Linked DNA regions of Ovis aries. The protein of the gene in region 2 interacts with the protein of the main gene of each other region in a pairwise test. Links are inferred from orthologs where the notes say so. Each region holds a gene or a part of one and is shown on either strand. Other genes may lie near its edges. The genes, in order: PITX1, TRIM23, TRIM29, MORN4, BRME1, FAM133A and GEM.

What was found.
Region 1: the proteins of TRIM23 (region 2) and PITX1 interact in binary tests that used the Homo sapiens proteins (3 or more experiments, as listed by UniProt). The link is inferred for Ovis aries from reciprocal best matches to the Homo sapiens genes TRIM23 and PITX1.
Region 3: the proteins of TRIM23 (region 2) and TRIM29 interact in binary tests that used the Homo sapiens proteins (3 or more experiments, as listed by UniProt). The link is inferred for Ovis aries from reciprocal best matches to the Homo sapiens genes TRIM23 and TRIM29.
Region 4: the proteins of TRIM23 (region 2) and MORN4 interact in binary tests that used the Homo sapiens proteins (3 or more experiments, as listed by UniProt). The two-hybrid records come from large-scale screens. The link is inferred for Ovis aries from reciprocal best matches to the Homo sapiens genes TRIM23 and MORN4.
Region 5: the proteins of TRIM23 (region 2) and BRME1 interact in binary tests that used the Homo sapiens proteins (3 or more experiments, as listed by UniProt). The two-hybrid records come from large-scale screens. The link is inferred for Ovis aries from reciprocal best matches to the Homo sapiens genes TRIM23 and BRME1.
Region 6: the proteins of TRIM23 (region 2) and FAM133A interact in binary tests that used the Homo sapiens proteins (3 or more experiments, as listed by UniProt). The two-hybrid records come from large-scale screens. The link is inferred for Ovis aries from reciprocal best matches to the Homo sapiens genes TRIM23 and FAM133A.
Region 7: the proteins of TRIM23 (region 2) and GEM interact in binary tests that used the Homo sapiens proteins (3 or more experiments, as listed by UniProt). The two-hybrid records come from large-scale screens. The link is inferred for Ovis aries from reciprocal best matches to the Homo sapiens genes TRIM23 and GEM.

Annotation. Positions count from the first base shown.
Region 1 is NC_056058.1:44,096,376-44,100,095, forward strand, and holds part of PITX1 (pituitary homeobox 1), read right to left. Parts: intron 365-3,720; 5' UTR 297-364; coding exon 128-296; intron 1-127. UniProt on the Homo sapiens protein: Sequence-specific transcription factor that binds gene promoters and activates their transcription. May play a role in the development of anterior structures, and in particular, the brain and facies and in specifying the identity or structure of hindlimb.
Region 2 is NC_056069.1:14,074,472-14,078,191, forward strand, and holds part of TRIM23 (E3 ubiquitin-protein ligase TRIM23), read left to right. Parts: intron 1-2,154; coding exon 2,155-2,284; intron 2,285-2,791; coding exon 2,792-2,902; intron 2,903-3,720.
Region 3 is NC_056068.1:30,407,615-30,411,334, forward strand, and holds part of TRIM29 (tripartite motif-containing protein 29), read right to left. Parts: intron 3,347-3,720; coding exon 3,263-3,346; intron 1,178-3,262; coding exon 1,079-1,177; intron 1-1,078.
Region 4 is NC_056075.1:18,623,391-18,626,790, forward strand, and holds the end of MORN4 (MORN repeat-containing protein 4), read right to left. Parts: intron 3,064-3,400; exon of another isoform or gene 2,866-3,063; coding exon 2,751-2,865; exon of another isoform or gene 2,696-2,750; intron 2,345-2,695; coding exon 2,235-2,344; intron 2,009-2,234; coding exon 1,860-2,008; 3' UTR 715-1,859; downstream 1-714. UniProt on the Homo sapiens protein: Plays a role in promoting axonal degeneration following neuronal injury by toxic insult or trauma.
Region 5 is NC_056058.1:10,105,290-10,109,459, reverse strand, and holds the start of BRME1 (break repair meiotic recombinase recruitment factor 1), read right to left. Parts: upstream 2,934-4,170; 5' UTR 2,639-2,933; exon of another isoform or gene 2,584-2,638; intron 2,056-2,583; 5' UTR 2,035-2,055; coding exon 2,004-2,034; intron 1-2,003. Other genes in the region: CC2D1A (coiled-coil and C2 domain-containing protein 1A), read left to right, coding at 3,299-3,358. UniProt on the Homo sapiens protein: Meiotic recombination factor component of recombination bridges involved in meiotic double-strand break repair.
Region 6 is NC_056080.1:140,888,112-140,892,542, reverse strand, and holds the start of FAM133A (protein FAM133A), read left to right. Parts: upstream 1-1,532; 5' UTR 1,533-1,942; exon of another isoform or gene 1,943-2,093; intron 2,094-2,248; exon of another isoform or gene 2,249-2,470; intron 2,471-2,736; 5' UTR 2,737-2,806; intron 2,807-4,431.
Region 7 is NC_056062.1:82,965,906-82,970,361, reverse strand, and holds the start of GEM (GTP-binding protein GEM), read right to left. Parts: upstream 2,897-4,456; 5' UTR 1,680-2,896; coding exon 1,644-1,679; intron 1,390-1,643; coding exon 1,050-1,389; intron 1-1,049. UniProt on the Homo sapiens protein: Could be a regulatory protein, possibly participating in receptor-mediated signal transduction at the plasma membrane. Has guanine nucleotide-binding activity but undetectable intrinsic GTPase activity.

The DNA.
Region 1 (3,720 bases), on a different chromosome or scaffold from region 2:
TCGTCAGATGGAGAATGGGAAAAGGCAAGGTCCTGACGCGCCTGGAGCGTAGAGCGAGCCCGCCTGCGGGGCGCGGCCCTGCTCGCCCGGGTGGTTCCGCGCGCGCCTCGCGGGGAGCCGCTCTTACCTGGTAGCTCCGTGTCGGACGACTCGCTGGCGGAGTTTTCGAGAGGCTCGCGGGGGTCGGCCGTGCGGGCTAGGTGGAAGGCGGGCCCCATGTCGTGCGGCTGCGGCGGTGGCGGCCGCAGTCCCTCTGGCAGCCGCTCCAGGCTCATGCCCCCCTTGAAGGCGTCCATGGAGGCGGGGACCGAGGCGGGCGCTCCGGGGGCCGGGGCTGGGCGCGCCCGGCCGCCCCGGCGGCGACCTGCGAGGACAAGAGCGCAGCCCCTAAGCGGCTGCCCCCCAGGGCTGCCCGCGCCCGCAACGACGCCGCGCTCGCCCCATGGGCCGCCCGGGGCTGCGGGGCCAGGCGGGCGGCAGCGGCAGCGGTTTCTCGCGACCCGGGGGCCCGGCTTCGCGCTCCGCGCTGCGCTCCTGCCGCTCGGGCCTCAGCCGCCCGCCCGGCCCCGGCTCCGGCTCCCGATCCGGGGCCGGTTTCTAAGGCTCCGGACGGCGCCGGCAGAGTCTGTCTTAAAGCGACAGCGCGCACCGCCAGGTTCCAGCAGTCCCTGCGCCAGGGGTGGTGGGTGGGGTGGGCCCGCGGGGGAGGGGGCTGGGAGGGAGGGAGCGAGCGAGAGAGCGAGGGAGCGCGGGCGGAATCCAGCCCCGAGCCGCCCGCGCCGCCGCGCCCTCTCTGCCGCCCTCCCTCCCTCTCTGCCTGCCTCGCCCGCGCCCTCCCCCTCCGCAGCCACCTTCCCGCCGCCTCCCCCCTCCCGCGGCCTCGCCGCGCCTCACCCTCCTTCCCCGGTGGCACACTGAGTTCTCCCTCGGCCGCACAAAAGAAACGCATCTGGCTTGCAAGCCCCGCGCGGCTCGTGCCCACCTCAAGCCCCAAATGACTTGTTTCGCTCAGAAATCAACTCCTGTCTGGGCCGCCTCGAAGTTCCGAGCCTCTGGCGAGAACAGCCCGGGATGAGTGAACGTTCACCGAGCAGGATCCAACCGACCGGGAGCCTGCGAGTCAGCGCCAGGGCGGGGGCAGAGCCCGGGGCTCGTTCCGGCAGCTCCCAGCGGCGTCCTCGTCGAGGGGCCGCGGCCCCTCCTTCCCCGGGATCTTCTCCCGGGACCCGAGCCAGGCTGAGTGACAGCAGCCTGCGCTCTAATGGGCCCCCGGATGCTGCCTCCTAATTAGCTTGGACCCTCTCCCCCAAGGCTGCTTCTCAGGCCTACCCCCTCTGCACCGCAGTCAATTTTCCGGGATTGGGATAGAACCGATGGCTTCTAATCAGACGAAACGTTTCTGTTGGCTCCAGGCCGCTGTCGAGTGCAGCAGGAGACCCCAAGAGCCCTGCCAGGCCCCCACAGCCTCTTCTCTCCCCTTGTTTTGCACCTTCAACGGTCTGGCCAAATCCGCCAGGTCCCGGCCTTGGCCACCACAGGGTGGGCCTCTCTCTGCCCCCTTCCCAGCAGGTTCGCAGGGCCTCACTTTGGCTTCTCAAGTGTGGCAGGCACAGGCCCGACAGGCCAGGTGACTGCAGTTTCCAAACAGGCCAGGAAGCCTAGGACAGTCTTGGAGCTTCTCTTAGCTACAACGGTAGCTAAGCTACAGCACCAGTGGGCACTCCATGAGCACAAACACATTCCCCTTCCCATCCCTTAGAATGAGTCCCTCCTTGAATCCTCCTACTTCACTGAAGTTTGTTGAAGGATTTTGCTTAACAATTGTTAACTGGTCCTGAGATGTCAGAGTCTTGAGCAAATAGGTGACCGCTGGGATGGTAGGGTGCAGCCCTGACCTGTTCCTCTAGCCACAGGTGGACCCCAGGGTGCCCTTTGCCCCTCTTCTGTGTGCTCCACCAGACAGAAGCAGCACTGGGCAGGATGGTGGTGGGGGTGGGGTGTGAGGCCCGGAGAAGTACTGTGGTCATCTCCAGGCCCAGTGCCTCACGCTTGGGCCCAGGGCATCCTAATGTTCTCCTGGGATCTCTGCCTGGGGCTGACTGTGCAGGCTGTCAGGCTCTGGGACCCTTAGGAGTCCCTTTCCTCACCTGGCTCCCTATCACCCTGGCAGTCACCTGCCTCCACCCCAGGCTGAGCTCTTTGGTGAGGATTGTGGGGGCAGGGGCGTGGGCAGGGTAGAACCAGGCCTGCCTCTCACTCCCTTGGCCCCAGTCCAAGGCCCCCAGCTCTGGGTCCTGGGGAGCAAGCACAGTTCTAGGGCAAGCCCACTCTCCCTGGGTGCCTGTGACCACAGGGGGCAAACTCGGAGGCTGGGGCCACAGCAGAATGCATCCAGGAGTTTGGGCTGGGGGAGTGGCTCTAACTTCTCCGAAGGGAATTTCCTGTAGGCTGAGACCCCCAGGGAGAAAGCATACTTGGTGTGTAGGGGATGGGGAGGGGTACCTGGAGACAGGGAACAGTGGTTGCTGAGCATTTGGCCTCAGCCCCATCTTTGACCACAGTTTCCAGTTGAATCTCCTAAAGGAGCAATACCTCCTTTCAAGGATGTATTTAGGTGTTATGCCATGCCAGTGAGTGCCCCTCCGCATGCCACCTTCCTGGTAGCTGCCTTACTTCGAAGGGACAGTGAGCCACCCAGCGTGCCAGGATCACAGAAGCATGCAAATACTTATATGTACTGCATACCTGTACAGGTGTGCTGTGCACACATACACACACATACTCACTGCGCCCACACAGGGGAGTGCTGAATACAGTCACATACATGTACACACAACCAGGCCTCTGAGCTCCAGAACACTGATGCTGTCTGGCGCGAAATCTGGCTGAGAGGGGTGTGTTCTAAGCCCACCAAGTGTCAGGCCAAGGTGGGAAGCACAGTGTTCCTCTGGGAGGGGTCGTGAAATGAATGGTCTGCCTTTGGGCGTCCAGAGGCTGGCCATCACAACTCACATTCCCCAGAGGGTCTAAAGAGTCAGGCGTTCCGCGGATGGGGACTGTTTTGCGACTCTGCAGCTCTAGCTACTCAGTCTGAGGGACTTGTGTCCCTCACTGTTGATGCATTTAATGCAGTTATTGAGCACCTGCTGTGTGCCCCTCCAGATCCAAGCCTCTGGCAGTGCTCCAAGTAGTCACAATCCCTATATTTGGAAATCTTGATGCCTGCTGTGTGGACTGAAAGGTCCTCAGACTATTGCGGGTGAAGCTCCATATCCCGGGGCCCTGAGCCCTAGGGAGGGGCTGAGACTAGTGGGGGTTGCCCAGGGGTGTTTTCTCCACTAGAGTCAGCGCTGAAGGAGTAGGGGTGAGGAACTGATCCAGAGGAGGCCCTGGCCTGATCTCGGGTGCTGGCTGGAGAAGGGACCTGGGGTGCTCTCTCCCCTGGCCGCTATCCTGGGCAGAATAGGGGCTTCTTGCACACACTCACAGATGCAACACACACACACATGAGACAGGAGGCAGCTCTCTTTCAGGAATAAGAGCAGGGACTCAATGTTCCCTTGGCTCTTGCTGTGTGACCTTGGGCAAGGCTTGACTTGCACTGTGCTGCAGCTCCCAAGTCTGACATGGGACACAGCAATCCCTGACTGCTGCTTCAGCCTCCACCTCACCAGATGATGGGACATGAGGAAAGAAGGGAAGGGGGCTTACTGGGGTTGG
Region 2 (3,720 bases):
ACCATCCTTTCACTTTCAAATGTGTGTTTCCTTAGATATAAAGTGAGTCTCTTTTGTAAACAGCATATTTTTAGATCTTGGTTTTTCACACTAGGTCACACTATGTCTTTTGAGTGGAGAGTTAAGTCTATTTATATTTAATTATTGTTAGGTAAACCCTTACTGTTGTCATTTTGTTTATTTTCTGCCTAACTTGATACTTTTTTTTGTTTTACCTTTCCTCTTTCATTGCCTTTTGTGTTTTATTGATTTTTTTTTTAATGTCATGGTTTGAGTTCCTTCTCATTTCCTTTTGTTTATATTCTATGGATTTTTGTGTGTGTGTTTGAGGTTACCTTTACAATTACATAAAATATCTTAGTTGTAACATTCTGTTTTAAATTGATAACAATTTAACTTCAATTGCATAGAAAAATTCTATTTTTCCAGAGCTCCACCCCCTGTACTTTATATTATTGATGTCACAAATTATATCTTTATATACTGTACACTTATTAGCACAGGCTTATAGTTTCTTTTAATGTGTTTGTTATTTCATTTCAATGAAGAATTAAATTTATTCACCCAAATTATAATAATGCAGGTTACTATTTGTTCCTGTAGTTATTGTTACCATTTTGGATTTTCATATGACTTCGTATTGCTGACAGCCTTTCATTTCAGTTTGAAGGACTCCTTTAGCTTCTCTTATTGAACAGGTCTAGTGATCCTGACTTCATCAGCTTTGTTTTTCTAGGAAAATCTTTTTTCCCATAATTTTTGAAGGACAGTTTTGCTATATATAGAATTCCTGGTTGAAGCCTTTTTCTTTCAGCACTTTGACTGTATCATCCCATTCCTTCTGGTCTGCAGTGTGTTTTTGCTGAGAAATTTGTTGATAGTCTTATGGAAGCTCCCTTTCTGTGATTAGTCATTTTTTCTTGTTGCTTTCAAGATTATCTGTTTTTGAATTTTGACAGTTGGGTTATAATATATCTTAATGTGGGTCTCTTTGCATTTATCATAGTTTGAATGCATTGAGGTAGGATTTTTATATCCATTTCTTTCCTCAGATTAGGAAGTTTTCAGCCATTATATCTTCAAGTAAGATCTCTTTGCCCCTTTATTTCTGTATTCTCCTTCTGGGACTCCCAGTCCGATGTGTCTCTTAGGGTCTTTTCACTTTTCTTCATTGTTTTTTTCTCTTCCAACTCCATGAGTCCAAATTACCCATCTTTTAAAAAATTAATTCTTACAAAAATCCTATGTAAGTTTGGTCTATTTAAAAAAATTAGTTGAAGGCTAATTGCTTTGCAGTATTGTGTTGGTTTCTTCCATATATCAACATGAATCACTCATAGGTATGCATGTGTCCCCTCCCTCTTGAACTTCCTTTCCACATTGCTACCCCATCCCGCCCCTCTAGGACTTTAGTCTATTTTTAATGCCCATTTTATACATGGGTGAGGTGAGGCAGAGTAGTCATGCAGCTAGAAATTGAACAAGTATGTTCATTGCAGTATTACTTATAATATAAAAAAATCAGAGAGATCAAATATTTGTCAGTGGGGATTGGTCAAGTGGTAAATGGAATATAATAAAGCAATTGAAAGAAAAAACGTAGTTTTATATGTTTGAAATGAAAGGATTCCGTAAGGTACTATTGAGTGTAAAAAATTAGTTGCAGTGTGTATTTTTTTTTTTTTTTAAGTGTGTCTGCTTTGTGTATGTCAACCAGTGTATGATGCACAGGAAGATGTCTGGAGGGATACATGTGAAATTGTTAACAGTGAATATTTATAGGAAGTAAACATCACTTTTTATTTTTTATTAATATATTTAGCACAGCATGAAAAATCTTATTTAAAGAAGATTCAGTTGAGCTAGAAAATCTGGGAAAAATAGGTGTGTGTGTGTGTGTGTGCATTTTTTAGCTTACATAGTATGTAGAAAGTTTTACTAAGCCAAGATTTAACAAAGCAGTGAGGAAACATTTCCTCTTTGTAAATATCAGAATCAGGGTATTTTAATATGGGAATAGAACTGATTTTAATGGATTGAGGAATGAGTAGGAGACAAAATAATTAACAAAGGTATTTTATAAATAAAAGTGTAAGTGCTAGTACTTTGAACTCCATAACAAAATAAAAAGATTTATTTTTTTAAAAATTATAGGACAATAGAGTTCACATTGGACCCAAAATGGAAATTCGAGTTGTTACATTAGGATTAGATGGTGCTGGAAAAACTACTATTTTGTTTAAATTAAAACAGGATGAGTTCATGCAGCCTATTCCAACAATTGGTAAGTATGCGTATTGCTTTTACCTTAATGAATATTTTATAGGAAAAAGCCCTAACTTACAGATGAGTTCTCAGGGCCTTACTTTATGCCCACTTGATGTGGAGATTGTCTGTAAGACATCAGCATTTCAGAGGAAAAATGCAAGGTTCAGTGACTGTGGGATTGAAATGTGGATTGAGGGGGGATAGTAAGAAAGAACAAAATATTGGTGGGACAGTTGGAAGGAATAAAATATTGATGACTCTGGCTGAAAATTAGGGATGAGGAGGTGGTAGTGTTGCAGAGCTGGTACTCAGCTGTCAAGGTCTTAAGGACTCTATTAGATTAGAGGGCTAACCCTGGTTAAAGGTATACATTTCCTCCATGTATGTTTATTACAAGTGGAGTTGGTTAGATAGTGCTGTATGAAGATGATTTGTAAGTCACAGTTACAATTGGGGTTGCCGGTTTTTGGTGTGTCACTCATAAGTCAGTATTAAAGTAAGTTGGTTTTTTTTTTTAAAACAGGTTTTAATGTGGAAACTGTAGAATATAAAAATCTAAAGTTCACCATTTGGGATGTAGGTGGAAAACACAAATTAAGACCATTGTGGAAACATTATTACCTTAATACTCAAGGTAAGAGTGTAAAATTACATCTTAATTTTTCAGATTTTTAGAATGTCAGTCCAGTTATCAGTGCATTGATTTAGCTAATAAAGCTGATATTTTAGAGTTGATTAAATATATGACCATACTATTACATATTGGTAGCACGCCCAACACTATCAAGAAAATTAAGCTAGATAGACTGAGATATGTACTCTGGTATATTTCATGAAAAACTATAACTTAACATAATATTTATCTTATACATGTAAGCAATTAAGGGTACTTTCCTCTTGGTATTCTTAACACAGAGTATTATTAGTGTTCATATGAGTATGCTGCTGCTGCTAAGTCGCTTCAGTCATGTCCGACTCTGTGTGACCCCATAGACGGCAGCCCACCAGCCTCCTCCATCCCTGGGATTCTCCAGGCAAGAACACTGGAGTGGGTTGCCATTTCCTTCTCCAATGCAGGAAAGTGAAAAGTGAAAGTGAAGTCGCTCAGTCATGTCTGACTTGTAGCGACCCCATGGACTGCAGCCTACCAGGCTCCTCTGCCCATGGGGTTTTCCAGGCAAGAGTACTGGAGTGGGTTGCCATTGCCTTCTCCAGGGCATGAAAGTGAAAAGTGAAAGTGAAGTCGCTCAGCTGTGTCCGACTTGTAGCAACCCCATGGACTGCAGCCAACCAGGCTCCTCTGCCCATGGGGTTTTCCAGGCAAGAGTACTGGAGTGGGTTGCCATTGCCTTCACCGTCATATGAGTATAATCATTGGCAATACTGTGGTATAGGGTAGAATCTGTGGTGTATAGTTCTGTTGCTCCATTCAATTCAATTCAACTCAACATT
Region 3 (3,720 bases), on a different chromosome or scaffold from region 2:
ATCTAGGCCAGTTCTGAGCAGATCTGCATGAAGGTGACAACAAGCATCCCGGGGGTCTTGGTGTGTTTGAGGAGGGGCTCTCCTAGAGCAAGGCCCCCCCACCTGGAGAGACTGTGGACCGCCAGGGAGACCCTGAAGAGCAGGAAAGCTCTGAATCACACCTAAGGGGGGCCATCTTTCCTGCCTGGTGGCCTTTGATCCAAGCTTGACCAGAGAGCAGGGAAGGACCTGCTGTAAGCCAGATAGGCCAGAGCAAGTCCCTGACCTGGGGATCCTGCAGTCTGGGACCCTGTAGTCATAACCCCTTGTGGGTAGATCCCAGAATCCCAGCCCTGGGTAGAGTCCAGGACCCAGCCCAGAAGGGGCAGCTGGATAAGCAACTGTCTGAGGCTGCTGCCTGAGGGTCCACCTACACCTTTCCCACCCGAGCCCACCAGCCTGCTTATCCAGGCTCCTAGGCCAGATGTCTGCCAGGTGGAAGGCAGATAGACCTGCTCCCTCCACCCCCAGAGCTGCCCCATGGACCTTTAAGAAGAGATGTGAGGGCTGTGGGTCCACTGGGAGCTGGGGTCTGACTCAGGCCAGCCCCTTGAAATGACCTCAACTCCAGGGGACAGGAGGCATCGACCACTCAGTCTTGTCAAAGAGCTCTGGGGGCAGAACCAGACTCGGGAGGGAGGCCTTCGAGATCACGTAGTCTGCCCGGCCCAGAGGGGACTTGGCAGGACTCTAGCTCTGTGGGAGGCTGACAGGTGCTTGGGCCACAGGGTTCTAGAGTCCCCTGAGGCTGGGAGTCACCAGGTGACAAAGTTAAATAAACTTTCTGCAGTAGGAAGACTCGAAATTAAGCCTGATGGAAGCCCCCGGGGACGTCGGGGCACAGGATACAGAGAGTATGGTGTGTCTCCCTCACCCCCGACACTGAGGCCTGTATCACAGTGCATCCCGAGGGGCCCGCGTGCGGTGGCCCAGCCCTCCTGACAGCAGAGACCTGATGGAGGCAGGGCATGGTGAGCAGAGACCAAGGCAGGGCTTACAGAGCGCCCAGAAGACAAGGGCCGGATGAGGGTGAGCTCACCTTTCAGGGAGAAGGAGGAGCTGCCTGCTTGCACCGCAGGCATGTCGTCAGAGCTCTGAATGGTGGAGGAGTATTCCCAGACCCGGGAGGTGTAGTTACCTGGTGGGGAAAGGAAGAAGAGTCAGCCCAGGGCGGCCTGGCTCGTGGGGTGGGGGGTTGGGCAGTGAGCAGAGGCCATTTCTGCAAATCCCTCCAGGCAGAAGGCAGCTGAGTCCTCATCACACCTCTGACCAATCCTTCCTGCCATTAAGCTGTCCTTCTAAGGCATCGTCCTGTCCTTGCTCTCAGATGCTCCCACCCTTCTCCACCACCTCCACTTCCTGGCTTCCCCCTCCCCTCTCCCGCCCTCACTCAACACCCCAGCCAGGCTGTGCCCTGAGCTCCTGACGCACACCAGGCTCGCTCTAGCTCCAGGCTTTTGGCACAGCCCAGGTCCTCTGCCTAGGAGAGTCCACCTGCTCCCCGACACTTAGTAAATTCACGCATTGGGTCTTCTGGCATCAGCTTCCACATCATCTCCCCCAAGTCTGCGTGTGTCTCAGCCGCACGCCCCGTATCACACTGTAATTACACGTTGAATGGTCCATCTCCCCAGCTGGCTCCGTGGGGGCAGGTGGTGTGCCCGTCTGACCCAGCCTTCCACCCAGGGCCCGGCACTTAGCCTGGCTCCTGGAAGGCGCTCACGGTCTGGCTGATGGATGAATGAATGAGTGGAGGAACAAATAAACACAAACACAAGCTAAAAGCTGGAGACGGAGGCAGCTGCTACAAGCCCTGAAATTCTGTGTGGAGGGTGCAGCAGGCTGTGGTGCTCCATTTGCAGATGGATATAGAGAGGCCTAGGGACAGTGGGGCAGGGACACCACGGGGGCATTCGAGAGCCCCCCGCCTCCCGCATGGAGAGCTGCCCACTCCAAACCCTCCCTTTCAGCAGCTCTGAGCACAGCGGCTCTGCTCCGTTGAGCTCACGCCACAGAGGAGCCCCCCAGCCCTGGAGATCTCCTGCTGCTGCCTGGGGGGGAGGGGGTCAGAGGGCAGATGGGGGTCAGGCGCTGGCCGCCTGCCCCATCATGAACCCTCGCCCATAGGGATCTCTGACAGTCTGCATTAAGGCTGTCACTAAGCATGTCCACCCAAGGTTCCAAGGGGCCGTTTTCTTTGCCCTCTCATCCATCCATTCATCTCCCCCTCTTCCTCCCATTAAACAAATGTTTGCTGAGCCCATCCTTCTGGACCCTGAAGTGTTAGTGGGGAATAGGACAGACCCAGCATCTGCCTTCACGGAGCTCACAGCACAACGAACCCAATCCTGGACATAGAGGCCTGGGCACTGCCCTGTCCACGGTGCCCCAACCCCCAGATCTCTGGATCTACCAACACCCCCACTTCCTTCCTTGCTTCTCCAGACCGCTGGTGCTGTGTCCCCAGGGACTCTGGTGGAGCTGGCCCAAGTCCCCTCCCCATCTGCACATGGCACACACCCAGGAGCCCCCCAAATCTGGGTCCATCAAAGGCTGGGCCCTGCCCTCGGCAGAGCAGTGCCCTCCGCACTTTGGGCAGAGGAGGGGACCCTGCGCTTGGCAACTCTCCCTGGGGAAGCACGCCTCCACCCTCATTTCACCCCTTCCGGGTCTTAAGGGCAAGTCGCCCACTTACCTCCCTGGCAAACATGCCTCCTGGCTCTCCAGGGATGGCCTGGCCCGTAGCACACCTGACTTTTCCTTGCCTGCTTCCCTAGTCTGTTTTAACCAGTGTCCGACTTTCTGACACAGGAGTGCACAAATCAGGAAAGGTCCCCTGTGACCCCTGGCCTGCCACCTGCTGAGGGAAGTCCTCACACACCTCACCCTGGGGTCCGCTTTCCCCAGCTCATCCTTCAGGGAGAAGACCTTACAGACCCAGGGATTCCACTGATGCAGAGGTGCCTGGCTGGCTTTCCTCAGCCGAACGATGTCACACACAGGCGTGCACACAAGCACATGTGCGAACCACACAGACACACATACACCTGAACACCCCCTGAGCTTGGTAGGATCCCTCCTCACCCATCTCCAGGCCAACCCCACTCCAGCTCCCCAAGTCACCTCGTATGGGGAGTCCCGCTGCCCATTGCCCAGCCCCCGCCTGCTGCCTGCATGGCCCCACACAGAGGCCCTGCCACCCTCCCGCTGAGCCGCCTCCCACCTTTGGTGCCGTACAGGTTGCTGAAGTTCTTCTCCTTGGAGAGGCGGCTGGGGGAGGCCGGCTGGTACGAGGTCCTGGCCCCACCTGTGAAGGGGATGAGGAGGGGGCTGTCATCCCAGAAAGGGGGGCCTGGCTCAGCCGGGGGCCTGTGGCTCTGACTTGAGGGGTGTCAAGCAGGAATCCTTGCCCCCCCAAAACAGCTTCACCTGCCTGGGTCAGGACCGGGGTTCAACCACCAAGATAGCGCCCTTGGGTCTAGGATAGGGTGACCACGTAATTTACCATTCATATCGGAGCAGAATTGAGAGGGATGATGCTAGTCATCAGGCTGAGGGTACCAGTGTAAACTTGGAGAGTCTTGAATGGACTAAGATGTATAGGCATCCTAATTAGAGACTTTGAGGGTCACCAGAGCACCCCTGCGCCAGGCCCTGCATGCCGAGACCCCAGAGGCTGGG
Region 4 (3,400 bases), on a different chromosome or scaffold from region 2:
TCAATCTTCAACAGAAACTGGGCATCTGGCTGACACTTAGAAGCTTGGGGCTTAGCATCTGGGCTCTTCTCACAGTTGACTTCTAGAGGATCTGGGCTGAGGAGAATCAGGTTCAGGAATGGGGCAAAAAGGTAGGGCTAGGGAGGCAGGCTGGTGTACTGGTGAAGAGCTCAGCCTTTGAGCTTAAACTGACTGGGCTTAAGTTCTTGGATCTGGAGATGCCTTAGTGTCAGCAAGATCCTGGAAAACTATGTAAATACCCTGAACCTCATCGGTGATAGCAGGATAATAATGGTACCTTCCTCTCAGGACTTACAAGATTGTGCATGTGAAAGGGTTAGCGTGGCAGGTGATTGTGCAAAGAGCTGCCGGAGATAACCAGCAGGTGGGATGATAACCTGTCTCAGGACTTGGGCACCCTGACGTTCAAGATGAGTACTGTGGGGAAAGTGCTTTGGAGCCAAAAAGTCCCAGATACAAATCCTACCCAGCTCTGCCACTCACTAGTTAGGGCAACCTCAGCCTGTCTGCTGTTGTTTGTTTGCGTTCTTTTTAAAAAATTCTGCATGTACCTACCTTGCAGAGTTAGATGATATTTCATAGTAAAGTGTGCAACCCTCAGTTTCCAAGCCTCATCTATGACTAACTTTTAGAAATAGCAAATGGGCCAATATCCATACAGATGTAGAGCAAGAGTCAGGAAAACCAAGTATAGGTAGTTCTGGCGACTTGTTTATTCCTCATAAGCATTTGTTTCCACACTATAACGCAGAGAATAAATAGAGGCACACAACTATCACTTCCACCACAATCTGCTGTTGAGGAGACATTCAGTGTGAGGATAAGGGGCTGGGGATGGGGTGGGGCATTTGGGGATCCCAGGGTAACTGGAGGCCTCTGTGATGAATTGTGCAGGAGTCCAATCAATCCAGATCTGATCCCTAGGCCTGATGGCCAAGGCTCATGGTGGAAGAGTTACAGTGACCAAATGCTCTTTGAGTTCACTGCCTTCCCAAGATGGGTCAGATTCTACCTGAACCCCAAGGGGTTGAGGTGGGTCTGACCTACTGGTCCACTGAGGAGGAGCTGTGTCAGCCCAAGCTATCCTGGAGGATTCAGTTCACTCCATGACAAGGCCTGATGTGACCCAGAGATGTCTGCCCTTGACTTGGAGTAAGTAATATTTACAAGCTATAAGATGACTGTTTACATCGATTTCTTTCTGACTAAAAGGATCCTTTCCCATGTCTAAGGAAGGAGAGAGGGGCACAGATTACCTGCTGGAACTTAGGGTAGGAAGACAGCTTGTAAGGTCAAGGGAGAAGAAGACAGCACTTCACTGAACGCTTCACAGGGGCAACAAGCAGACACAGGACCAGGCTGGTCAGACAAAGCGGGAGGCCTGGGGCCGTGATGTCAACCAGGAATGCAGGGCAACATACAGAAAAGCTCTGGCCTTGACTTTCATGGGACCGCTATACTGTCAAGCCCACCCCTATTGTTTTCCTCATTTCTCACAGAGCACTGAGCACTTGGCCCTCATCTGGGGCTGGGATCACCTGCACCAAATAGAGGCAGAAGGAAGAGATTCTGCATCACTTGGCAGAAAATGAAGGAGAAAGGCAGCAGCCAGTCTGCCCCGGGTGGTCTCCGGTGTTAGGGACAGAAGTACCAATGAGTAAGAGAGGGGAAGGACACGCTGAGCGGCCGCTGCTGCAGTGGCCAGAGCCCTGCCTGGCGGGTGACAGGCCCCTCCCGGGGCTTCTGCTCCACGGTCATTTTCGCCTCCTCTCACGTTGGGTTCATCTGTCCACCCTGAGCGGGTGGCGGGCGTTGCTGTCAGCCAGGCACAGCCCCCGTCAGGCAGTGAGGCTCCGGGCTGACTTGGAGGCGCTCTGGGCCCGCTGGACCACCGCCGAGCACTTCTCACGCCGCAAAAGCTTGTTGTTCTCGAACAGACCTTCATTGCGGGGTATTCCATGAGAACCATCAGGGAAAGTCAGCAGGCCTTTGGGGGGACAGAGAAAATAAGGGTGTGACAGTGGCATTTGTGGCTCGGAGGCCAGCTTGCTACGTTGGAGCCAAGGAGAGAAAATTTGCAGCTCTTGGGTGCTCAGTCCAGGAACACAGCACTCTGTATTGCTGGGTGTCCACAGAAGGATTAAAGCTGCAAAGGTGTCCTGCCACCCATTTACACTCGCCTTAGTCACCTGTCCTGCTGGTTGGCAACTTACCCAAACCATCCACTCTGCCGTTTTTAAATTCTCCCTCAAAGGTCATGTTGTCATGTCGAATGAAGACTCCGACGCCGTTGAACTTGCCCTGGGCAAACTCCCCCTCATACCTGGGGAAACGCGAGATGTCAGCCTTCAGGATAACTGAGTCAGGCAGCTACCAACACCAAACGCTAAGGAGCAAAGCTGATTCCACTCTTCCAGAGCTCCCCCCACCCCGCTCACCCCATCTTACCCAGCAGAGAGGAGTCAGAGAGCCCAAATGATCTGAGGCTCTCATCCCGAGGAAACAACCAAAGAGCACAGTGGTGGGCTGAGAGGTCACTGACCTCCTTGCCATCTCAAAGTTTAGAAGTATTTATAAAGTAACCAGTAAAAGAACGAATGCTACTCCTTGCCTGTTTTCAGAGAGTCAGGGACAAGCTCAGATTTGACCAGGTGTTTCTCCCTATCATTTTTAGATCAGAGCTTCCCTTCCCTCGTCTAAGGTTGGGAAAAGAATGACCAGGTACCCACCTTGAGCCATCTGAGAAGGTCAGTACCCCGAAGCCATTAAAGAGCCCATTCTCAAAATGGCCCAGGTAGGTGCCACCATCTGCAAACATCAGTTGACCAAAACCATGTCTGCGGCCTGAGCAAAGAGAAGACGGGTGTCAGGTTGGGATGGGGCAGCTTCAGGGTCCTCTGTCACTGTCTAACGTCCTTTGCCTTGCATCACCCCACCCACAAAGGAAAGAAGAGAAACAGTGACATTAGCAGGGCAGAGAACCATTGCCCAGAGTAATAACTTGGCTCCAAGGATCGTTGCAGTGAAAAGGAAAAAAGAGCAGTGAGTTTTTCTTTCCCTTTCCTGAGATCAAAGAAGATAAAGAGAACAGTGAACAGGCCTGAACACTCCCAGTTTTTACTTTAACTTTTCCTAATCTGTCGTCTGTAACTGAAATTGCTTTTCTGCCCCCGAACTCTGCATGAGCTACATTTTGCACCTATTATCCTCTGCATGCATGCGGGCTAAGTCACCTCAGTCGCGTCCAACTCTTTGTGACCCTATGGACCATAGCCCGCCAGGCTCCTCTGTCCATGGGATTCTCCAGGCAAGAACACTGGAGTGGGTTGCCATGCCCTCCTCCAGAGGATTGAACCCACACGTCTCTCATGTCTCCTGC
Region 5 (4,170 bases), on a different chromosome or scaffold from region 2:
CACAAGCTCTAGGGCACACAGGCTTCAGTAGTTTTGGCTCCAAGGCTCTAGAGTGCAGGTTCAATAGTTCTGGTGCAGGGGCTTACTTGCTCCACGGCATGTGGGATCTTCCCAGACCAGGGCTCGAACCCCCGTCTCTTGCACTGACAGGCGGATTCTTTACCACTGAGCCACCAGGGAAGCCCTTACACCAAACGTCTTTGATCTGTTGATTTCTTTCCTGCCCTACATCCTACTCTTGAAGTTCATTAGTCACTAGGTGAAGGGGTCATTCTTAAATTTTTAAGAAATTTAAATTCCTTAGCCAATGACAGGGGAATGGAGCTATACCACATAATACTGGATGTTTTCCTTCTGAACGAGGCAATTCTCTATGTATATTGAGAGGTAACGATGATCTTGAAAACCCATGAAGTTGAAAATCAGAGGTTGCATATCAGTATGTTGATAATTATATTTATCCAATAAAAACACTGTATTTGTGTATATAAAGAAAAAGTCTGGAAGAAGTACGGTACTGAGATTTATTTCTTGTTTTTTATGCTACATGATGCGGTTGATCCAGGCTTCCCTAGTGGCTCAAGTGGTAAAGAATCCAAGTGCCAATGCACAAGACACGAGTTTGATCCCTGGATCAGGAGGATCCCCTGGAGGAGGAAACGGCAACCCACTCCAGCATTCTTGCCTGAGAAATCCCAGGGACAGAGGAACCTGCGGGGCTACAGTCCACGGGGTCGCAAAAGAGTCGGACAAAACTGAGTGACTAAACAACAACATGGCTGACCATCATCCTATGGTTGTGGGTGGCTTTACCATTAGCGGAAGGCGAGGAAAGGGTAGACTGAACTCTGAAGTATTTTTACAACTTTTCTGTAAGCTCAAAATTGTTTCAAAATGAAAAAGAATAATAATCTGAAAGGACAATCATAACAGCAGCATATATCAGCGTCCTGCCGTGCGTCTACTCTCAGTGCTTCACAAATGCTAATTCACACGTGAGCTCTAGGGCAAAGTTCTCAGCTTTGGCACTACTGACATTTGGGGCCAGGTCATTCTGGGCTGTGGGGGCTGTCCTCTGCGTGCTATGATTTTGAGCAGCCATCTCTGCTCTTGACCCATGAAATGCCAGTACCTCCCACCCACCCAAACAAACACACCAGTTGTAAAACCCCACAGTGTCTCTAGGGACTTCTCTGGTGGTCCAGTGGTTAAGACTCCTGCTCCCAATGCAGGAGGTTCAATCTCTGGTCAGAGAACTAGATATCACGGGCCACAACTGAAAGATTCCACATGCCACACTTAGGACTTGGCACAGCCAAATAAATGAATAAATACTTTTAAAAAAACGTCTCTAAATATTGCCAAATGTCCTCTGGAATCAAACTGCTCCCTGCAACAGGTTGAGAATCACTGTTCTAAAGGACAGGGTGGGGAGGTGGGAGGGAGGTTCAAGAGGGCGGAGACATACTTGTGGCTGACTCATGTTGATATGTGGCAGAAACTAACACAATATTGTAAAGCAATTATCCTCCAATTAAAGATAAATTTTTTAACATTTTTAAAAGAAAATAAAGGAAATGGTATGTGCTCTTTATTATCTCCTACTTGCAGGAGGAAAGTGAGACAGAGTAAGTTATCTGCCATCACACAGGGAGATGAACCTAGGTCTTTTGCTTAAGCCACATACCAGCACATCAAGCTCTATTCACGGGTCATCTCTGAGAGTGGACCTGCGTAGAAGCTGCACCCCTCCCTGAAGCCTGCAGGCCTCCCCTAGGCTGTGGGATCCCACTACAGGCTGGAGGAAGCTTCACAAAGCTTTCACTTTTTACTATAAGCACTTCTCCATAACTTATACTTGGACTAAGTCATCGTGTGTATTAAATCATTGTTGTTATTTTAAGGAGCTTGGTGTGGTCACCTTAGCATTTCTGCAATAAGCCCACATTCCTCCTAAAAGCAGAAGCAGCAATAAAGATGTGTCAACTTGATCGTCCAAATACCTGAAGTCCGAAGCTTCTTCCTCTTACTCATTTTCTCTCTCCCTAGAGAAATCTGAAAACAAGGAGCAAATCTTATCATTACAAGCAGTTCCTGTCTCTCAGTTACAAGACCCAGTGGCCTTGGCTGAGGCCACCCCTACCAGACCTAGACCTATCTGGCTGCCCCAGGGGTCAACAGAGCCCCAGTAGGGCAGAGGATGGGAATCATAGCTACCTTGGGCTACTCGGCATGTGAATTTAAACTCCTCCATGCTGCAGAGAGGGAACTGCCTATTTTCTGCCCAGGATCTGAGAGCACCTGGGCCGGGGTATGGCCCCTCTAGTCTCTAAGATGGGGCAGCCTATGTGAAGCTCCCTTCCTCCAGGCTAGGGTACTTGGGACCCTTCCAGGGACACCCCAGGATTTTCGAGGTGACACATGGGGCCCTGCAGGGTCATCTGAGGGCTTTAGAGGGGAGACCTGGGACCTTTCAAGGGATGGGGAGGCCCTTTGGAGGATGCCTGGGGCCTTGGGGGAGGCCAGAGTCGCCACCACAGGTCCATTCCTTCCAGCCTAGGAGCCAGACAAGCCCAATCTGACCTGGGTCAGAGTTGTTGAGGTCCCTCTGTCGTTACCAGGAACTAGGAAGGTCTACCTGGATCTGCTGGGGGATAATTCGGTTATTTCCGTAACGTTTTTTTTTAAAAAACAAAGGCAAAGTTGTCCCTCACGGAGGCCGGGCAGCTCGAGGTCTGAGGCCCGAGTGCTGCGGACCTTGCTTCTGGTGACCAGGCCCATCCTAACCCTACCCTGGAGGCCGAAAGCGAGAACTGCCTAAACCAGGAAAGACCAGAACTCGCAGGTGAACCGGCCACACCGTGAACCCATGGGCCGCCACCAGCCCTCACACCTGCAATCGCTCCGCCCCGCGCACTACAAGGCCCTGCCGCGCACGCGCTATGCCGGAACCTCCCTTCTCCACTTGCGCACGCTCCGCCTCTTTCCCGCGCAACCTGCGGCACCGCCCATCGCCGGCAACGCGCCTGCGCATTCGCGCACTGCCTGCCGGGAATTGTAGTTTCTGTGTCGTGGGGCCCGGCAAGTCCGGTGGCTGAGCTCCGGTGCCGCGGCGCCCGAGGGCCGAGGCGGAAGTGGGGCAGCCACCTGGGGGCCGAGGGCGTGGGGTCGGCGGTCTCGAGGCGCCGACAAGGGGCGTGGGACTCAGGAAGGGCGTGTGCGGTGCCATAGGCCCCGGGGGAGGAGGCAGGGCAAGACCAGGCCAGGGGTCCAGTGGTCCGAGTAGCCAACCTGGAAGATGCACAAGAGGAAGGGACCCCCGGGACCCCCGGGCCGAGGCGCCGCCACCGCCCGCCAGGTGAGTCTGTATCCCATGGCCCCGCCGAGGTATCCCATCCCACCCTTGTCACACGTTCAAGGGAGGGCCCCACCCCCCAGGGGAACCGGCTCTCCACTCCCAGGTGAGCCCACGTCCCCGCCCCCTAGGTTAGGTTTGACCCCCACAGTAAGGCCTGTTGGCCCGGGCTCCCCAGCTCCTGGCGCCCCGCCCAGGGCTCAGGGCCACCTGTTGCAGTAGCAGCTCCAGTCGGGGAGGAGAAGGCCTTGAACCTGGGATAAGAAAGACAGTTATGGCTTTCCTGGACTGAGCACTGTGGAACCCTGGCATCAGCTTGGCCAGGTCATACTTTTTTATCCCCATTGTACAGATGAGGACACTGAGGCCCAGAGAGGTGAAGATAACTGTCCAAGGTCATAGGGATCAACTGCTTGGCCAGACCTAAGGGCAAATCCAGTCTGTTTGCTGTGAGCCCACAGAATTGTGGTTGGGCACCGTCTCCCTCCCTTATTACCTTTTTCCTAGGCACTGGGAGAGTTTGATTTTTCTCAGCTTTGATGGAAGGAGCTCAGGCCAAAACTTAGTGCCCAGGTATTAGTCTGGCTGACCTGAAGTTCCCTCCGGGCTTCTCCGTATTGGATACTTGGCTTCACACCTCTAAGCCTCAGTCTTCTCATCTGTACAATGGAGGCCTTAAGAGTGTATGTCACAGGATAGCTGTGAAAATTCACGACTATCTGTGATAGTTTACAGAGAGTGCTAGAACATAGCGCTCAATAAATGGTGTCATCATCGTTACTATTAGATGGAGCCGTTGTATGATTGCTGATACT
Region 6 (4,431 bases), on a different chromosome or scaffold from region 2:
TACCATTGACTTCTCTTGTATAGTAATAGATTGATTTCAGGATGACGTTATCATGCAAAGTTTGACCAATTTCAAAATCTTCATCAAGGATAGCATCTTCTCGTGGTTCAAGCTTTCCGATAGTAGGAATCTCAGGAGGGCTAAAGATATTGAAGAATGATGCATCAGGAACCACTCTTGGCTGGGTTTCAACTTGTCCAGTAGCTGCTGTGCAACTCTGGGTGGTTGTCATTGTAACATCCTTTCCTCTTCTCCAATCTTACAGCCTTTGCAATCTTGGATTTCCCAGTCCCAAGAGAAGAAGGGATCATTGTGATCTGGCTTTGACTTTATTATATATCTCTTGGTCAGCACCTCATTCTTGAAGTATGGATTGGGTAGAAAGCAAAATTCAAATGTGTAACTTACAGGCCTGCTGGGTTTTTAAAACTTCAGGCTAACATCAGACAGAAGTTCAGAATGGGCTCATCATACTTCTGAATCATGGGCCCCAGCTTGTCAACATTCTTGAACACAGTCAGCCAATAGTCAGGAATGCCTTTAGGATCTTATCTTTTAGGCTTTCCTTTTCGAGCTCTTTTAAGAGCTCTATCTTTAGGCGTGACCTCAGGAACTCTTTTTGGAGCCTCTTTTCCTGGAGTCCTTGCCTTAGCCTCTGCTGCTTTAGCCTGCCCTTTATCTTCTGCCTTTGCCTGGAGGGCTTATTTTGGATCTTCTTTTACTTCAGGCCTGGCCTCCAGAGCATCTTTGGACTGTGCTTTTTCTTCAGTCTTTGCTTCGGAATTTTCTTTTGGTGTTACATTTTCTTCAGCCTTGACCTCAGGTTTTGCTTCCAGGTCATCCTCTTCTTCCTCACTCTCTAAAGCAGGCATCTCACTAGAGTCTTCCTGCATCTCTTCATCGCTGCTGAACACCTCATCCTCCGAATTCCATTCACATTTTTCTTCCGTGGGCTCATATTCTGCATTGATGATTTGGAATCGCCGGTTGTACAGAGCCCTATTGAGTTCGGCATATTTTCGTTCGAGATCATGAACTGCCTTTAAGAACAGGGCGTCTACCTTGTCACATTCGTCTTGAATATTTCTGAGAGCCTGCACACGATTTCTAACCGCCCGAGGCAGCTGATCCACGAAACTTCTACCTGACGGAGCCCGCCTCACACTTCTGGAGGGCCCAGGTACACTTATACGTCTATAGAATGGGCTGCGGCCACTGCTGCTACTGCAACTACTGCTGCTGCTACAGCTGCTGCTGTCAGATTCGTCCCCAGAATCGCTAGACGAGATAGCTACCATCTCTCCATCCACCCCCTGGGCGGCAGGTTCCGAGACCCTGTTAGGATCCGCTTCTGCCATTCTGCAAGTCTGCAAACCTCTTAGGTGGTCACTACCGCGTGCCCAGAGATGGGTAGAAAATGACTCACGGATGCTTGGGTGGTGGCGGCGGAAGCCGGGGCTGAGGAAGTGGCAGCGGTGAAGGCAGCAGGAGCGCTGGGCGGGGCGCGGCTGGGCCGAGGTGACTGCACCGGAGGTGGCGGCGGCAGCGGAGGCCTGGGCGACAGTGGTGGAGGCAAGGCCTCTCTGACCTGCAGCTGCGGCGGACTGAGGTGTGACGCAGCTGAATATCGCACTGCGAGAGCCCGAGATCTCTTCACTGCTTACATCTTGAGCCCCCTCCCCTCGCAGTCAGACCTCCAGTTCCTTTAGTTCCCAGTGTGCCTTTAGCTCGCACCTCATTTGCTAGACAAACTTGATTGACCTTGATTGACAATGCATCAGCCCAATAAGTGCGCAAGCACACCGCCGCCTCTAGGCTCCGCCTTCCTTTCCAGTCGCTCCTTGGTTGCTGAGGCACACACCACTGAAGACTTTTTTCCCCTTAAAATTCTGTCTTTATAGTTTTATAATTTCAAAAAAAAAAAAAAAAGCTTAGATATGAGGTAAAAATACTAGTCATGGTTCCTAACAAGGGAAGAGGAGTACGCTCCCATCCACTCATCCTTAATTCCCATTTGGTTTGTCAGGGGCCTCGTGACAAAAAGCTGTTCTTAAAAAATTGGAAGAAAATGCTCCAAATGGCATCATTGGATAGTATGATTATGGATTTCTTTTTAAATTCTCTTTCTTTTATCTGAATGTCTTATGAGCATGTATTTTTACACTGGGTAAAAAGGGGGAGTCGTTTATTGGCGAAGGGGGGAGGGGCTAGAAAGCAGGCATATTGAATTCCACGTAGCAGCTTTAATAAGTGCTGTTTGTGATGTTTGGCAAGCCTGTTTTATATCCATCTACAAGGTTTGCGAACCCATGTTGCCGTGAGTCAGTTACACCATTTTTTTTTACTGTATTTCTCTTTTTAATCTGACATGTCATAGACCCTGTCCTTGCTGGTGATTTGCCACGTAGTCTTTCTCCATGCTTTTAACAATCTTGTAGATAAAAAGGATAAACGGGCATTCAAATGTTAGGTAGTAGTATTTAAAAGCAGATGGTTTATTCTATACTTTTGTGGCAGCAGCTTTTAATTTCACGAATAGCAGGATGGGAGGGGGAATGTGTTGATGAAACTGCATCCTCTGTCAGGGTGTACTTTACAATGGCATCTGCCACCAGTTTCCTTCTAACATTGTACAATTCTAGCCATACTGAAGTATGATTTACAGGTTCAGTAATAGATGAATACACTTTTGCAAAATGAAGTTTAAAAACAGGTATCTGTTATTTTTATTTACAGGATTCTTTTCTGCAACAGAACGACTCCCTTGGTACAACCAAAAAGACCAGTGTTTACTTTTCATTGAAAGGTAAGGAACATATTTAGCCCATTTTTATGAATGACAAGAATTACCTATCTATATTTAAATAAAAATTCACAAGATGTAGCCTTTTATTTGGAAGATATCTTGTTAGTTCCATGGAAGCAGAAAAATCCACAGAGGTGATTTGGAATACTAATGTAGAAAATAACCTAATTAATCACATTCACTTTTCTGAACTTGCTCATAGACTACAAGTAACAAATTAAAATATAAAATATGATGAATTATTCATTTCAAATGAGGAAAAGTATTAAAGTTAGATTACCTCTTATCTTTCCTTTTTATTACAGAATTTGTGCTTATTTAGTTGTATTTTTTAAGTTAGGAAACACTTTTATTTCTATTTTATAAATGAATTTACTTTTATTATTTACTCCTGATTGTCAAAGTATGTAAGTATTGTAAGGAAAAATACAGCATAGAAAATTTCAATGGTAATACAAACACAATCAAATGATAACCACTGTTAGAATTTTGATGCATTTTCTTCCAGAATTTTCTTTGTAAATATATACATATGCCTGTTTACACATGCTGTTTTATCTATGTGACATCATATTGTGTTTTGTAATCTGCTTATTTATCAATTAATTGTGGCTATATTTTCACAGTAAATGGTTGAACATCTCATTTTTAAATAGATGCATATTCCATGAAAATATTTCCCGTAGTTTAACCAGATTCCTATTGTACAGCAGCTACTTATACTACCTCTCTACTAGTAGACGTATTTTTCCTGTTAGAAAATAGTTATCTCAGATACCTACTCTATGCACTTGTAAAAATTAGCCATATGATGAATTCCTAGAAATGAGAGTCCTGAAATAAACTGCCTGATCATTTTACTCTTTGATACATAGTGCAAAACTTCTCTCCAGAAAAAATTATCACAATTTGCAATTATACCAACAATGCATCAGTTCATTTATTTAGTCATTCAACTATTATATTTTTGTGCCTGCCATGTGCCAGGCACATGTGGTAGAGGAAGATGATATAAGTCTCACTAAAACTTACTGGGTGCATATCCTTTCATTTTTATAATTTTAATTAAAATATATACTATAGAAACAATGATTTAAATCAATGAAGCTATGCTGTAAATATTGTTCTATAAATTATTATTTTCCCTTAAAATGATGGACACATTTTGTTAATGAAGGAAGTTATATTTTATAGTACTTTAATGGTTTAATATACATGTTAAGTTTTGTACCAACAAGAATTAGTATTTTGGTTCTTTTTTAATTTTTTAAATTTTTTTATTTTACTTTACAATACTGTATTGGTTTTGCCATACATCAACATGAATCCACCACAGGTGTACATGTGTTCCCAATCCTGAATCCCCCCTCCCACCTCCCTCCCCATACCATTTCTCTGGGTCATCCCAGCACACCAACCCCAAGCATCCTGTATCCTGCATCGAACCTAGACTGGCAATTCATTTCTTATATGATATTATACATGTTTCAATGCCATTCTCCCAAATCATCCCACTCTCTCCCTCTCGCACAGATCCAAAAGACTGTTCTATACATCTGTGTCTTTTGCTGTCTTGCATACAGGGTTATTGTTACCATCTTTCTAAATTCCATATGTATGCGTTA
Region 7 (4,456 bases), on a different chromosome or scaffold from region 2:
AAAAATCAATGTTCTATCAATGAGTCATCATTTAAAGCAGGTTCCGGAGCTGCCTCATGAAGCAATGAACTCCCAGACAAAGGAAGAATAGATGTTTAGTAGAAATGGGCTGACAGCAGTGAGGAAGGAGTAGGATTTCTGTGCATCAAGCAGAGGGCAGAACTGTGTCATCACTAAAGCATCTTCCTACTCCTGAAATCTGTGATTCAGCAGTGAGTTGCAACTGAGCGTTCAGACAGACCATGTCACTGGGACAAGCACACTTACTTCATTTCCACAACTGCAAACAGGGACATACAGTGACCCTGGCATTGTCTAAGATCCTGTGGCTGAAAGACACTGAATTTAAACCATCGACTACAGGAGCCTCATTTTACTTCCCAGAATACAGTGCTATGCTTTACTTGAGGAATATGTGATTTTTTTGAGACTGTATCATCTCAGATCAGTTTTGGAAACCAAGGCCTAAATAATAAATACCTTAAATGAGATTATCCATGGAAAATTGAAAAACCGTAAGTATACTTACAAACGTTAAGTATCATCATTGCTAACTTTCAATATCTTTTTTAAATATTGTGCTATTGAAAATAGAGATTTTAAACAATTTTATACCCTCTAAAGCCTCTAATACTGCAATGAACAAACTAATGAATTCATCTTAACAGTTTTCTAATTGGCTTGGTTTTAAGTATCACCATGGAAAAAGGCTGTCTCTACACTGAGTGCTTGAAAGGTCCAGGTCAGAACTGGCAAAAGCCAGAGGTGGGATCCTGACCCTCCGGCTCCACCCTCCGTAAACCGTCTCCCTGGTCCCTTTAGAGCTGGAATGTAAGAAATTCCTTCTCTGGCCCAGCTTCTATCTATAAGCATTTTCACTTTCTTGTCCCAGAGGCCTATGCCAGCACGTCTGTGGGGACTCGGCTCCCCAGGCAGAGCCAAGAAGGCATAATCGCACTTCCCAACTCTGCAGACAAATGACCCACCCACTCACTCTTCCTGCTGGACCACTGCTGTCCCGTAAAGCCCTCCGGAGCCGGGCCACCTACCTCCAAGCACTTCGCAGTCGCTGTCCATGCTGTCATGGACACCCGCAAAGATGTTGGCCAGAGTGGACTTGCCCACCCCCTGCTCCCCGATGAGAACCACCCGGTAGTAGGTGTTCCCGGACTCGGAGGAGATGACTGAGTCCGTGGAGTCGGAGGACCAGCTCCGGCGGCAGGGGTCCTCGGGGGCGGTGGGGGGACGGCTGCGCTGGCCGTACTGCGGGGGCTCCTTCTGGACCATGAGATGCCTGCCATCGGCAGGGATGCTCCAGCGCTGCTGCTGCGGCTGCACGCCCGCCGTGCCCTGGCGCATGGTGACATGGTTCAGAGTCATCGTCAGGTCCTGGAAGGCAAAGCAGCCAAGATGGTAGCATCAGGAAGCATGAGTTCAGGGAGCTCGAACACAGTCATCAGTGATATTTTAGTATGTGAGGTTACCAAGTAACCCTCACACAAGGAACACCAGTGAAGCAGTCCCCAAACCCAACAGGCTTTCAACTGAACACACACACACACACACACACACACACACACACACACACACACACACACAGCAGCTCCTCAGGGAGACTGTCATTTGCAAAGAGGAAAAGGTACCGTTAATATCGCCCACTGCCCTGGGGCTTCCTCCATCCTCAAGGAAGCCTGGGGATTCCCCACTCAGAGCGGGCACAGAGGCAGCCAGAAGGCACGAAGAGCCTCTAGAGAAGGCTTGAAAAGCAACAAGTTAATGCAGCTGGGGACCAGCTGGCCAGGTTAGCCGCTGATGTCTAAACATGGCACTTAAGTAGCAGCAGCACCCAGCAGGCTTTTATGCCTCAGTGGGGAACACGTGACAATGACATCATCCCCCCCGGCTGGATTGGACCAGGGCTGATTGGAACTTCCATGTTTAGTAAAGTTGCCCTGATGCCTGAATATGCTCTTATTTGAGGGGGAGAAGAATTTCTGCAATAGGTATATGCCTCACTTCTGCCCCCTGCCCACAGATATCACATTTAACCCATCCCTCTGCCTTGTCCTTCTGGCAGGGAGAGGACCTGCTCACGTTCAGAGCTGTCAAACTTGCAGAGACAGTGCTTCACTCTTTTTAAACTCTGTCCACTCCAAGAGTTCCTTTCCATCAGCTCGGATTTCCACCTTCCTGAAGCCAATCAGGTCCAAGACTCCCTCCAGAAAGACATTCAACAACGTGGCTACAGCTTGGCCTTTCTCAAGACTGCCTCCCCTTGCCCGGTGGTCTGGACTCCCAGACTCTCAGACAGAAAGCAGAAGCAATCTCATTTTCAGCAGCAAGATGCACCGGTGAGCGAGAGACCCTCCCCTTCCCGCACGCACTCCCCAGAACCCCAACACGTCGATGACCCTAGCCGCGACCCTCACCTCGATGACCCTGATGACCGATCGGTTTGTAGGTTTGTTTTTTTTTAATCTTACAAGCAGCGCCTCCGGTAGGCCGACTCTTCAAACAACCAGTGCCTGAAGTATCCCTGACGGCTGTCCTCCGACCACAGTCTGGAGGAGGAGATGACCCTCCAACTGAACTGCACGAAAGCAACCCGCCACCGCCGAATGGCATCCTTCGCCCCTTAAACTCTGCAACACCCCTCACCCCCCCGACCCCCGATCGAAAGACCACCGCGCCGGACAGCAGGTCCGGAAGGTTCTTTTCCCCACTTGGAAAGTTCTCCGCGGGCTGCGGACGCCCACCCCTTCCCCCAGTCCTGCCCCCCGCGCCTCTCCGGAGGACCCCGCTCCCCGCCGCGGGCTGCTCGCCTTACCGGGGGTGCGGCTGAGAGCGGACGCGCGCCGCGATGCGGGCGGCCGATCGCGGGGTGACTGCGCCGGGTGCGCCCGCGCCCGCGCCCCGCGGTTTATACGCGCGCGGCCCGGGCTCTGCCGTGACGTCAGCGCCCCCGCCCGGGGTTTGGGGGCCGGGCGGCTCTGCAGCAAGCCCCGAGGGGCAGCCCCTTCGCCAAATCGGTGACTCGCCGTCATGTGACCCCCGCCTCTCTCCCCTTTTAAAAAAAAATAACGACAGTTGAATCCCGGCTTCCTTTATTCTGGTTTGTTCTTTTGACCAGGCGGACGCTGGAAGGGGGCAGACAAAACACGAAGTGCCCCTTAATTGCACTTTCCAGCAAAACAGTTCGCGAGCTGTCCGGATGAAGGATGGAGGAAGAGGCAGGTTGGGATTGGAAACCCAGTTTCGCCAAAAGAAAAAACAAAAACAAAACAAAACAGGGGGCTACAGCCCCATGGAAGTGTTCGGGGCTTGTGTCAGCCGCATCTTCTGCAAGGAAAACGGCCTCTGCCCGCTCCTGTCGCCTTCCCGGTGAATGAGGGAAGGAGGGGATACCCACACTGCTTGTCTCCCTTCTCTGACCGGGACCCAGAGAAAAGGGGCCAGAGGAAGGTGGGGCAAGGGGGCAAGACCTTGAAAAGGTCTTGAAAAAATAGCTTAAGTAGGGATCCAAGCAGACTGTGCTCAATGTGGCTAGCCCTCCTGCCCTGGACCAGGACGCTGAGGCTCCTGGATCAGGGAATTTAATCAGCATCCCGACTAGTAGCATCTCCTGTACCAGGCTCCCTGGCATGGCCGGTCCTGGCCGTGGGGCCAGGGCCTCTGGCCATGCGAGGAGCCTTAGCCTGGGTTCCAGTCCCAAGAATGATGCCTGTGAAAAAAGGGCACAAGATAACAGAAACAGTCACTTCTATCATTTACTGAGTGTCTCTGAGTTCCTATATTTAGTAGGTACTGTTAGACCTCTGCAGTATCTCAAACTTTACTACAATTCTGCAAGGTGAAGATACTGCTGCTCCCATTATATGGAGGAGGAAAATGACCCCCAAAGTCAGAGAGCTTGCCCAAGGTCACGCAGCTCATGTATGTGGCAGCATCAGGACTTGAAGCTCCGCTTGCCTGGCTCTTTGCACTGTGCCCCCAGCTGGAGGGATTCAGTGACCTCTTTGGCAGGCCACGGGCATTTCCCAGACACTGTGTTTGGAGGTGACACTGGCCTTTCCAACACACCCATCTGCTTTTCCAGCCAGCTGCATCTCTGGATGGGCTGGTGGCCCCGGAAAACAGCCAGAGGCACCAGCATCTATTCAAGTGGCTGGACCCTGCTGTGAACAGAGTCTGTTCTCTGTTACTCTGCAGCATTTTCATGCTCTGGGGATTATCCAAGTGACCAGCTGCTGAGACATGCCAGGCCCCACGCTGGCAAAGATGGAATGGCAACCCAGAGCTCTCTTGGTCCCAGGTGCCCTGGGCCCAACCTCCTCATTTTATATGTGAGGAAGCTGATACCCAGGGGGATGACTACCACTCAGGCAGTAACTGGCAGTGCTGCAACCAGAGCCTGAGGGTCACAATTTCCTGGATGGGTCCCTTCATTTCCATCGAG